2 linked regions of the Oryctolagus cuniculus genome follow. The protein of the gene in region 1 binds, or shares a complex with, the protein of each later gene. Links are inferred from orthologs where the notes say so. Each region holds a gene or a part of one and is shown on either strand. Other genes may lie near its edges.

What was found. Proteins that work in one complex are often made in the same cells at the same time.
Region 2: ERCC3 (region 1) and GTF2A1 share a complex: the UniProt entries of both Homo sapiens proteins name them as parts of the TBP-based Pol II pre-initiation complex. The link is inferred for Oryctolagus cuniculus from reciprocal best matches to the Homo sapiens genes ERCC3 and GTF2A1.

What each region holds. Positions count from the first base shown.
Region 1 is NC_091434.1:122,282,359-122,287,843, forward strand, and holds the start of ERCC3 (general transcription and DNA repair factor IIH helicase/translocase subunit XPB), read left to right. Parts: upstream 1-1,800; 5' UTR 1,801-1,915; coding exon 1,916-1,943; intron 1,944-2,219; coding exon 2,220-2,425; intron 2,426-3,088; coding exon 3,089-3,325; intron 3,326-5,272; coding exon 5,273-5,322; intron 5,323-5,485. UniProt on the Homo sapiens protein: ATP-dependent 3'-5' DNA helicase/translocase. Binds dsDNA rather than ssDNA, unzipping it in a translocase rather than classical helicase activity. Component of the general transcription and DNA repair factor IIH (TFIIH) core complex.
Region 2 is NC_091451.1:27,054,961-27,060,531, forward strand, and holds the start of GTF2A1 (transcription initiation factor IIA subunit 1), read right to left. Parts: upstream 3,292-5,571; 5' UTR 2,838-3,291; coding exon 2,808-2,837; intron 2,189-2,807; exon of another isoform or gene 2,052-2,188; intron 1,865-2,051; exon of another isoform or gene 1,759-1,864; intron 1-1,758. UniProt on the Homo sapiens protein: TFIIA is a component of the transcription machinery of RNA polymerase II and plays an important role in transcriptional activation. TFIIA in a complex with TBP mediates transcriptional activity.

The sequences.
Region 1 (5,485 bases):
TACAATGGAATATTAATTATTATTTTGAAAGAGATTGTCCTTCCAACTGCTGGTTCACTCCCCAAATGCCCACAACTGCTGTGGCTGGGCCAGACTGAAGCCAGGAGCCAGGAAGTCCATGCGGGTCTTCCACATGGATGGCAGGGACCGATGTAATGGAGCCATTGACTGTTGCCTCCTGGGGTGCACATTAGTTGGAAGCAGAGGGGGGACTCTATCTCAGGCACTCCAATATGGGATATGGGCATGCCAAGTGTTGGCTTAACCCACTGTGCCACAAGACCTGTTCCCAATGTGGCTGTATTTGAAGACAGGTATTAGGAAGTGACAAAAGTTCAAAGAGGTCGCTAGGGTGGTGTCCTTGTAGGAGGAGACATCATAGTTCCCTCTCTGTGCCATGTGGGGACACAGCAAGAAGGCAGCTGACAGCCGCCAAGTGGGCCCTCACCAGGATGGACGATATCCTACTTGGACTCTCCAGCCTCCAGAACTGTTAGAAAGTAAGTTGTTTATGCAGTCTGTGCATAAATGCCTGCACTTATATTCGGTTTTCTTCATTGTTACAGTTTCTTTGCCTAAAAATCGTGGAGTTACCCTTTACTCCTCCTCTCTCACTTGCCCTAGTAAGTCAGTAAGCAAATCTCACTCGCTCTACCTCCAAAATACATCCAGAATGGCGCCACCTTGTGTCACCCGTACCCTGCCACCCTGGCAGAACCAGCTGTTCCTGTACTCACGACCATGTAAAGGCTACACTGAGCATTGCAGCCGGTGAAGAATGATCACTGAATAGCAAATCAGAGTCATTTCTTCTGCGCAGAATCTCCCAGTGGTTTCCCATCTCAAATCTATTCCCTACAATGGTCTACATAAGTGCTTCTCGAACTTGAACATCGGAAGGACGCGATAACTGAGCCCCACCTCGTCCTCTCTGATTCCGTAAGGGCGGGGATAGGGCGAGGCACTCTGCACCGGCTTTTCCAATCTGAGTTACCCCAGCTTCCGTTTCCTGTCGACACCCCAGGGAGGCCACGCTCTGGACACGGGGCACCTGCTCTTTCCCAGGTCTCCCAGCCACACTGAGCCTCCACATGGTGCGATGCCCTCACTCAGCCTATAGTCTTACACCACTTCAGAGAGGTATTCCGGCATCCTCTGGGCTCCTTTTATTTCAACACTATTTTTTGGTGGCCCACACTGCTTTGTCAGAATTTGTGTTCCAGAAGGTCGAGGCCTTGCGTCCGCTGTCTGTTCTACCCGAGCGGTTTACGGCAGTGACTGCGCGATCACACAGACACTCAGAAAAGACTTCACTGAAGGAATAGCAGAAAGAACCGGAGAGAAGACACCCGGGCAGAGAAAACGTCCTGGGTGCCGGCGCTGAGACGTAGCGGGTAAAGCCAACGTCTTAAGTGCTGGCATCCCATATGGAGGCCAGTTCGAGTCCTGGTTGCTCCACTCCCAATCCAGCTCTCTTGCTATGGCCTGGGAAAGCAGTGGAAGATGACCCAAGTCCTTGGGCCCCCGCACCCGCATGGGAGACCTGGAAAAAGCTCCTGGCTCCTGGTTTCGGATCTGGCCGCTCCAGCAGTTGCGGCCAATTGGGCAGTGAATCAGCGGGTGGAAGACTCTGACTCTCTCTCTGCCTCTCCTTCTCTGTGTAACTCTTTCGAATAACTAAATCTTAAAAAAAAAAAAAAAAAAAAAAAGTCCGAGCATTGGGCTCACACCAGCGCCTGGAAAGCTCTCGGCCGCTGCGCTCGCTCTGCCCTCCCCGCCAACTTGGTCCCCAGAGGCGGGACTTCCCGTCCAGACGTCAGAAGAGCTTCCGGTGTGAGCCGGAAGTTCCTCCGAGAGCTGAAGACGCCGTGGGCAGGCGTTTGGCTGTACCCCAGTGTGTGTGGCAGTCGCTGCCATGGGCAAAAGAGACCGGGCGGACCGCGGTGAGACGTGGGGCGGCCGCACTCGGGCCCCGCCCCCGCCTCTGTGGCGGAGCTGCTTCAGGCTTCGCCGCCAGGCTGTTTCCCGCAGGCCCTGCCGCCGGGCAGGGGAGCTGCGTGGCTGGAGCTCAGCGCAGCTCTCTGCGAACCGGCCGGGTGGGGGGCGGTTGTTTTTAGTGCAGAGTTGGTGGCGCGGGGGGTGATGGCCGCGACCTGGCGCCCTGCAATGTGGTGGAAACCCCAGACTGCTGCGGGGCTCACGCCTGTGTCTGTTTGCAGACAAGAAGAAGTCCAAGAAGCGGCACTACGAGGATGAGGAAGAAGATGACGACGACGCCCCTGGAAACGACTCTCAGGAGGCCGTACCCTCAGCGGCCGGGAAGCAGGTGGACGAGTCGGGCACCAAAGTGGACGAGTACGGGGCCAAAGACTACAGGCTGCAGATGCCTCTCAAGGATGACCACGCTTCCAGGCCCCTCTGGGTGGTAAGCACGCCCTCGGCCGGGACCGGGCTCCGGAGCCTGGAACAGCCGCCGAAGCTTGGGCGTTCTCAGATCCAAAAGTGAGGTGTGGGATTCAGTCTTCCGGACAGCGCGCTCTCTACCTCCCCCCCCCCCCCCCACACCTGCGCACAAGGGCCACACGATCCTGCCTGCAGTTCCTCTACCTCCAGCCCCTCCATTCTCATCCACTCCCCTCTCCTTTTCCCTACCCCATGCCAGGAATTAACGTTGAGCTGCGGGATAAATAGCATGTATTATGTAGCACTTTATTTAGCATGTTTTAGATCAGTTGGAAACCGTGGATCTGGGAGCCAACTTTGGCTCAGCCCAGAGTAGTGAGCGTTCTACCTTCAGTTGAGATCTAACTTAAAAACGGTTCCGTGAGGATAGGCAGTAAGGTTGCATTTCCTTGTGCAGAATCCCCGTGTGAGAAACAGCTGTGGACTTTGGAAACCTTTTCTTCTGTTTTGCTCTCCTTCTGTGTATCTGATTTGAGTAGTAGACCCTACAGTTATTTGGAGGGGGGCTTGCAGGAACGCTTCTGGTGTTAGGCGGCTTGTCCTTCTTTGATAATTATATGGGAGAGAGTCTTAAGAGTCTCTGCAACTCTGGAGTGTCCTGTCATGTGTATTTGATGTTCTTCAGGCTCCTGATGGCCACATCTTCTTGGAAGCCTTCTCTCCAGTTTACAAATATGCCCAAGACTTCCTGGTGGCTATTGCCGAGCCGGTGTGCCGGCCAACCCACGTGCATGAGTACAAGCTAACTGCCTACTCCCTGTATGCAGCTGTCAGCGTTGGGCTGCAAACCAGTGACATCACTGAGTACCTCAGGAAGCTCAGCAAGACTGGAGTCCCCGATGGAATCATGCAGTTTATTAAGGCAAGTAGGGACCGAGGCCAGCCTGCCCTGGGGATGGCGGCACAGTGTGGATAGGTGTTGCTTGTCGTCAGCCTGGGGCAGCCACGGAAGTGTGCCAATCAGATCCCCTGTGGGGAGCGCAGCTGCTGCTTCCCTGGGTCCTGCACTGTGTTGTGGCTGAGGCTGTGTTTTCCCCCAAGCTGCTCTCATCCATGGGAGCTAACAGCATGGGTACCGGTTCAGACTCCTTCTGGCCAGGATTATTTGGGAACACAGCCTAGAGTGGGGTGGTGCTGTGCACTGGGTTGTGGTCTCCCAAAGTTAGCATGTTGAAACCCTAACCCCCAGTGTGGGTTGGAGTGAGAAAGTAATTAAGACTAAAGGAGGCCCTAAGGATGGGGCCTTGATCCAGTGGGATGATTGTCCTTATAAGCACAGATACTGTGAGAGCTCTTCTTCTCTCTCCATGTCATGTGAATTCACAGCAAGAAGACAGCTCCCTACAAAGAGGACCTTTACCACAAACCACATTGGCTGGTACCTTGGTCATAGGCTTCCAGCCTCCAGAACACTGAGAAAATAGATGTTGAAGCCATTCAGTGTGTGGTTTTTGGTTTTGTCAACCCTAGCTGACTAATGCAGGGGCTAAACTCCATCTAAGAATAAATGCTTGCATGAGGCCAGTGGTCAGTGAGCTCCCTTGGGGGAACATCAAAAAGACCTGCAGCTGTTGCAGTAGAGAGGGTTCTGTGTGCACAGTGGTTGGTAGAGGACTAGTGCCATTCTGAAGGTATAGATGATGACTCTGTTGCCTTTGGCTGATCTAAAGGGAGGGTGAATCAGATCCCAAATCAAATGGCAGAAGAGGGCCCCAGACTGCCATGGCCTCTGGCCCCAGAGTAGCTGCCAGGAGCCCTGAAGAGAGTTCTGTCTTATGATGGGCAAGGCCGCCCAGGGAGAGGGGCTTACATCTCACTGGTTTGAGCCAGCTTCGCTCCGTGGCTGCACCCACTCGTGCCTGGGAGCTGCTTGTAGAGATACGTGCATTGGTACAATGCAGTGGTGGGTGGGGGGCAGGGGGAAGGAGCAACAGCCAAGGGTTTGAGTGGTGAGATTTTCATGGCCACCATCACACCTCTGTGGCTTTCTTCATAGAGCTTGTCTGTATTCTCTGCCATCAAGAAGCTTACGTTTTAGTTGGGGAAATAATATGGGCAAGGAGGTCAGATTTATGTTGATTTATGCAACAGTTACCATGTGCCTACTCCATGCCAGCTGTGTACTAGGAGCTGTGGTAATTACTGGTGTGGCAGGATGAGCTCTGGATGAGGGTGACAACTTTGGACATGGTGAGGAAGGGAAGAGAAGATAAAAAGAGGGGCTGGTGCTGTGGTGTGGCGGGTAAAGCTGCCACCTACAGTGCCAGCATCCCAGATGGGCACCGGTTCTAGTCCCAACTGCTCCACTTCCGATTCAGCTCTCTGCTATGGCCTGGGAAAGCAGTGGAGGATGGCCCAAGTGCTTGGGCTCCTGCACCAGTTTTGGAGACCGGGAGGAAGCTCCTGGCTCCTGGCTTCAGATTGGCGCAGCTCCAGCTGTTGTGGCCTTCTGAGGAGTGAACCAGCAGATGGAAAACCTCTCTCTCTCTGTAACTCTGCCTTCTCAAATAAATAAATCTTTTTTTTAAAAAAAGAGAAGATAAAAGAGAGATTTTAAGCTGTTTTAGAAATTAAGGAATGTATGTCAGAATTAGGCAAGAAAGTTTTGCTCTCCAAAAGCACTTTCCAAAAGCAGAAGCTAATGGGGAAAGCTCGATTTAGACAGATCTGGCTCCTTTGGGATTGCACACCGGTTTTTCCTGAAGTAAACTGCACTCTTCACTTGGGCAGTGGACATGCCCAATGGTAACCATGTTCTGAGTGAGCTGCTTGTTGCTGACTTGATTGTTGGTGTTGTGTCTGCTTGCAGCTGTGTACGGTTAGCTATGGGAAGGTCAAGCTGGTCCTGAAGCATAACAGGTAAGAGACTCTGTGACAGCCCCGTTCCGGGCACTTCATCCTCTGCACAGTTTGGGGAAGGGCTGTGGGAAGGAGCCAACCTCTTCTCTGCACCAGTACCTCACTGCCCTGAAGCACAGATAAGAGGAGCAGGACAAGTGTCCCCAGATGGCAGTTTATTCAC
Region 2 (5,571 bases), on another chromosome or scaffold:
TGCTTAAGGTAAAAGCTATTGGCTAATAAAAACAACGGCTTGCTGGCAAAAGCAAACCTCAAAAAGAAATGTTTCATTAATTTCTCTACCAGTAACACTGTTATCACAGAGGAACCTCTAAGAAAATGTGTCATTGGCCTAGCCAAAAATAATGAGTTTGCCAGTAAAACTTTCCTAAATGATTAGAAACTATCCATTCCTTTTCATGACAACCAGAAAAACAACCCAAATATCCAGACTGTTGCCTTTACTGTTCAACTCACTAACTTGCTTTTTTGATTTTGCCAAATCCACCTATGTGAACTTGATATTATCTGTTAAAAGAGCATCTCTACAATGCTTCCTCCCTTCAACATTCGGAGTCTATATATAAGCAAACTATACCTGACTATGGGTATCATCTTGCTTACAACAATTTAACTACTGAGTTATAGAAATATATCTATAAAATGTACTTTACCAATGACTCCACAAGGCATTATAAATAGGCAACATAATTTTAAGTAGGTGGTTTAAATCTCAATTTGATGATACACATTATTTTTTCAGCAAACCGGATGTTTCTAAAGTCAGTTACCCTAAAACTCTTGGAGACCCAAATGTCTACAGGAAAAAATCTGTTTTCTTCTGGTACTCCTCCCTGTTGAACAAATCAAACATGCCTTTGAGATGTTCTTTTTCTGCCTTAAATGAACCAACACTTGGCCACCTAATGTATTCATAATCACTATAGTGGAGGCATGAAGGGAATATGTATTCCTTATGAGGTCTATGCTTAAAGAGGAAAATTGCTTACAATTTGAAAAGCCCTCAAAATACTGATGTCATTAAAGGTTCTTGGGAATTTGAAATCAGTGATTTTCAAATTTTTAAAAAATTATCCTTTACTTGAGCGAAGTTTTTTGCTAAATGAAAAGTAATTTATATTTGTCCTGATTTTTAAAGACAATTCCAGGCTCAAAATGTGGCAAATTAGAAGGTCATTAGTGGCCCAGTCAAGTGATCAACTCGAAGGTTTCTTTCAAAAGTATCAGTACTGCTGCAATCCTGGCATATTAATTGGAATCATTTTTATATTGGATACCAAATTAATATCCAGGGCAATAAACCAACACCTACTTAGAACTTTAATATTTTAAAAGCCAGTTTGCAGTAGGTCTCCTCATTCTTGTAACTCACAATTGTCCTACACAGTAATGTATGTGGATAAACTGAGGCTTTAGGAACTTAGCTGTTTCTTTGAGAAGCGTCATATCCTCATTAGAGTAAAACATGAAACACTGCTAACATTTCCTGAATACCTGATGAACAACATGCTATCATAACCAAGTTCTAGTCCAACAACAAAATCATTTAAAAAATTCCCTACAATAACACGCACACCTTTCAATACACAAAAATCGACTAAACCATCCGTGTTTTAAAATATCAAAAATGTTAACATAAAAAAAGGACTCCAATAAGAGAGCGCATTTCCCCAAACAAAGGAAGCAAATCCTAGCTACCGCATCCAAACAAAAAACTGGGGCTCTGAAAGCAGCCCTCGTCCGCTGGGAAATTACAGCCTCAGAAAAGGACCTAGAAATAAATTGAGCTCCGCACGCGCCTGCCTCTCGCCTCGGGAGCACGCACCTCCCAGCCCCGCTCAGCAGCTCTCACTATTTAAAGCCGGATCTGGTGTTTAAATGGAGAGGCGGTGACGTAGGCCTGAAAAGCACCTTCCCATCCTGGCAGAGTCTATATTAGAGAGCGGCAATGGCTCTATATAAACAGGGCAGCCAAAGGGAGGAGGACCACAAGGCTCAGGGACTGAAAAGCAGGGTAAGCGGCCGCAGCCATGATGGATCGACCCGAGTCGCCAACGGTACGGTGTCGGGCGGCCGCGGGTTTGTCCGCGGCATTCGGGACCGGGCAAAAACGTGTTTTATTGTCGTAGTAAAAAGAAGAGTTGGGTGGGCTAGTGATCACACTGCGTTGGTGACTGAAAAGGTTATTTATGTGACTGCTTTTTGCAAACCTACGTGATCGCAAGGAACCAAAAAGGGACTCACGGGAAGAAGTAGGCAAATTTCAAGGCGCAAGCGGGGCACTTTGACCACTGGAGGCTTTTTGGGGTTTGTTCTGGTGCTTTTGCTAGTTGAAGATACGACGGGGGTTTTGCTTCCCCTTCGCCATTTTACCCATTCGGAAGGAACTGAGATAAGTGCTTTTCAACCTTCGTCTGTTTTTTTTTTTTTTTTTTTAACATAAAATGGCCCCATTGAAGGTCCCCAAAGCACAACCGCCAGGAAAAAAACAAAAAACAAAAAAACCCAAAGTAATCCTCCAAGTAACCCTAAGCCTTCCACTGCGTTCAAGTGGATCCCGGCGGGTCCCGGGAGCTGGCCCAATTCCCCAGCCGCGGATCTGATTCCGAGGCCGCTTGGGGAGCCTGGTCGAGCCGGCGCCGACGGGCCCCCTTCGCGGGAAGCGGCGGCTCGCCGCCCGCCCGCCCGCCCGCAGGCCGGGGCCGGGGGCCGGGGCCGCGCGCCAGCCCGGGCCCAACGGCCTCCGCGGCCCGGACCTCCCCAGGCCCCGCCGGCGCCCCCGCCCGCCCCGCCGCCGCCGCCGCCGCCGCGAGCCCTCGGCGCCCCCCCCGCGCCCGCCGCCCCGGCCCGGGCCGCCCGAGGCGGGAAGCGGCGGCGGCGGCGACCGCGCGGGCGGCTCCAGCGCCGAGGCCGGGATCGCCGCCGTCCCCGCCCCCGCCCGGTCCGGCCGTTGCTGCCGCCTGAACGAAGCCCCCTCCGGCCACCGAACCACGTCCTTACCACGGTGTTTGTATTTGCCGAGTTCGCCATTTCCACACACAACACAAACAACACGGGGGTAACCCCGGGAAAACACGGTCAAAACAAAACCAAAAAGAAAAAAAAAAAAGAAAAGAAAAACCACCCGGAGGGCGACCCAAGTCACCACAGATTGGGGCAAAAAATGGAAACAAAATCGATTCTGAGGGAGAGGGGGAAGCGGTGAGAGGAGAAGGAAGGGGACACTCTCTCCTCCCGAAGCTAAAAACCTCGAGAAATGCCTTAAAAAAAAAAAACACGCCAAGACCCTTCGGGGGTCCGGGGGGCGTTGCCCACTCCCCACCCCGTGCCAAGGAGGGAAACCACCGGTCACCGCTCCCCGCGCCGCCGCTGCCGCCACCGGCTGCAGCTCCAGCCGTCCGGTCCGCTCGCTTCTCCCCTTTATATAGCGAGCCAACAAGCTGCGCGAGCCGCCGCCGCCGCCGCCGAGAGACAGGGCGGAGGGGGAGGGAGGGGCGGAAAGGGCGGGGGCAGAGGTGGGCGGGGCGGAGCGCGAGACACCGCGAGAAGCCGCGTGCGCAGGCGCGCCGGGGCGGAGGCCGCCTCGCGCCGCGTCGCTACGCGCGAAGGAGGGCGCTGGGCGGGCGGAGCCCGGGGACTGGAGTAGTGGAGTTGGCCCGCCGGCTCCCCAAGTCTCGCGTGATCACGTGGTTGGCAACCAGGCGGAAGTCTCCTGCAGCCCTCTGCGACCGGGAGCTTGCAAGGCATTGCTGGGAAAGGTGCGCGAGTTCTAGTGACACCCGAGGGCTCAGCTAGCTGGGAACGCCTCCTGTCAGACGTCTGCGCGCCGAGCGGCGCTGCGGGAGCTGGGGTATGGGAAAGGGGCGGTGGCCGCCGCCGCGCTCGGCGCGGCCGAGGAGGAGCGCGGGTCACGTGGAGCGGCTTCCGGGCCCCTGGCGCGCCTGGCTCGGGACAGGGTGTGAAGTGCGGAGTCATCTTGTGGCCCCGGGGCTGCGCGCGTCTGAGTGGGCCTCTTCTCGCAGGGCTGAGTCTGTTTCAAAAGCGGGTGGGAGTCTATTTGGGTCCTCGGTCTGCACGGTCCAGAATTAGCAACCTCCGAAGCCGGCGCAGCTGTTTGTCCCCACGCTGAGTCTGGGTATCAAGGATTTGGGGGCGAAGTGTCCCCAAACTTTCGGCCCCCGCTAGCCCGCGTGGTTTTAATGACTTCGCAGCCTGATGGAAATGACAAAGCGCGAAACTCCAGCCGCTGGACTATGGAAGAGCGATGACTTTGCCTGGCGTTTTAAAAATGTTGCCAACATGCCATGACTCCACGTGGCTAGCCTGGAGTGACTAATCACACGTGAAGTACGAGCCTTTGACCCACCAGTTAACACGGCCTCTCCCTGCGAGAGAGCTGGGAGCATGTGTCCGTGTCGTGGAGGGCATTCGATAGGCGTTTGACCTGCTTCACCCAAGCAAAGCCAGCTTTGATGTCAACATCTCACGCGGAACAGAGTGCGCTGTCCCGAAGGCAGAACCCTCAGTACCTCATTTTCTCTAGCCCGGGAATTTTGAGTGAGGGGGTTTATCTTCAAAAGGCAAAGCAAAACAGAATATCAGAAGAGTTGTGTGGGTGAAACCAGGTTTGAAGACTTATCAAAGGCATGCTACCAGGGGGGGGAAGATGCACCTTGCCAGGCTCCGGGAAAGGATTAGAAAAGCAAGAGGCCGTTAATAGAAAATGGGAGATGGCAAATAGGAATGTGAATGGGTGAGGGCGTACAGTGTATTTAGCTCTATGGTTTAGCTCCTAACTCCAATCTGCCCTTCACAGTTTGTTGCTTAGTAGTTCGCTGCACAGCTCCTGGTCGGAAGTGCTTAAAGAAAAAATTAATCACAGGACATCTGTGTTCCTAGTAGCTTATGTGAAACTGATTCTATCAACATTTTTTGTGTAGTTAAGATTCAGGTGGCAATTAGCCTGAAAATGTACCCAAATAACATCACTCTTAGTAGTTCTCCCTGCAAAGTGTTTTAAGAGGACTTTTTGTTTCCTCCTTGGAGGTACTCCCAATTTCATTGAGATCCCTCACCTTCCGCCTAGTTTTCTATCCTATCACCTGATACACTTGACTAAGTGGTCAGGTATTTTGTTATCAATTTAGGTTGAGACCACTGCAGATGGACAAGGAAGTAGACCTATGAAATTTGTGCTCTGCACAACGATTCTGCTCTAAGGCAATGAGATGTATGTGCCAGTGGGTCTGATTTGTGAAATACTGGAATCCCCTCACTGGATTAAAAATGTCCTTATGACTTTCACACTCCCTAGAGGGTCTGAGTTGACCTCTCTTTATGCCTTCTAAATGGCTGCGATACCTAAGCACTTTACTAATACCCAAGTCTCTTCCTTTCTCTGATTCATGTGCTTGACATCTAAGAAACCCTCAAGGATTCCATTCTAACTAACTGGTTTTCCAATCTTTCATTTAGCTTTTTTTTTTTTTTTTTTTTTTTGGATAGGCAGAGAGGACAGTGAGAGAGAGAGAAAGGTCTTCTGTTTCCATTGGTTCACCCCCCAATGGCTGCTGCAGCTGGCGTACTGCAGCCAGTGCACCTCGCTAATCCGAAGCCAGGAGCCAGGTGCTTCTCCTGGTCTCCCATGCGGGTGCAGGGCCCAGGCACTTGGGCCATCCTCCACTGCCTTCCCAGGCCACAGCAGAGAGCTGGCCTGGAAGAGGGGCAACTGGGACAGAATCTGGCGCCCCGACCAGGACTAGAA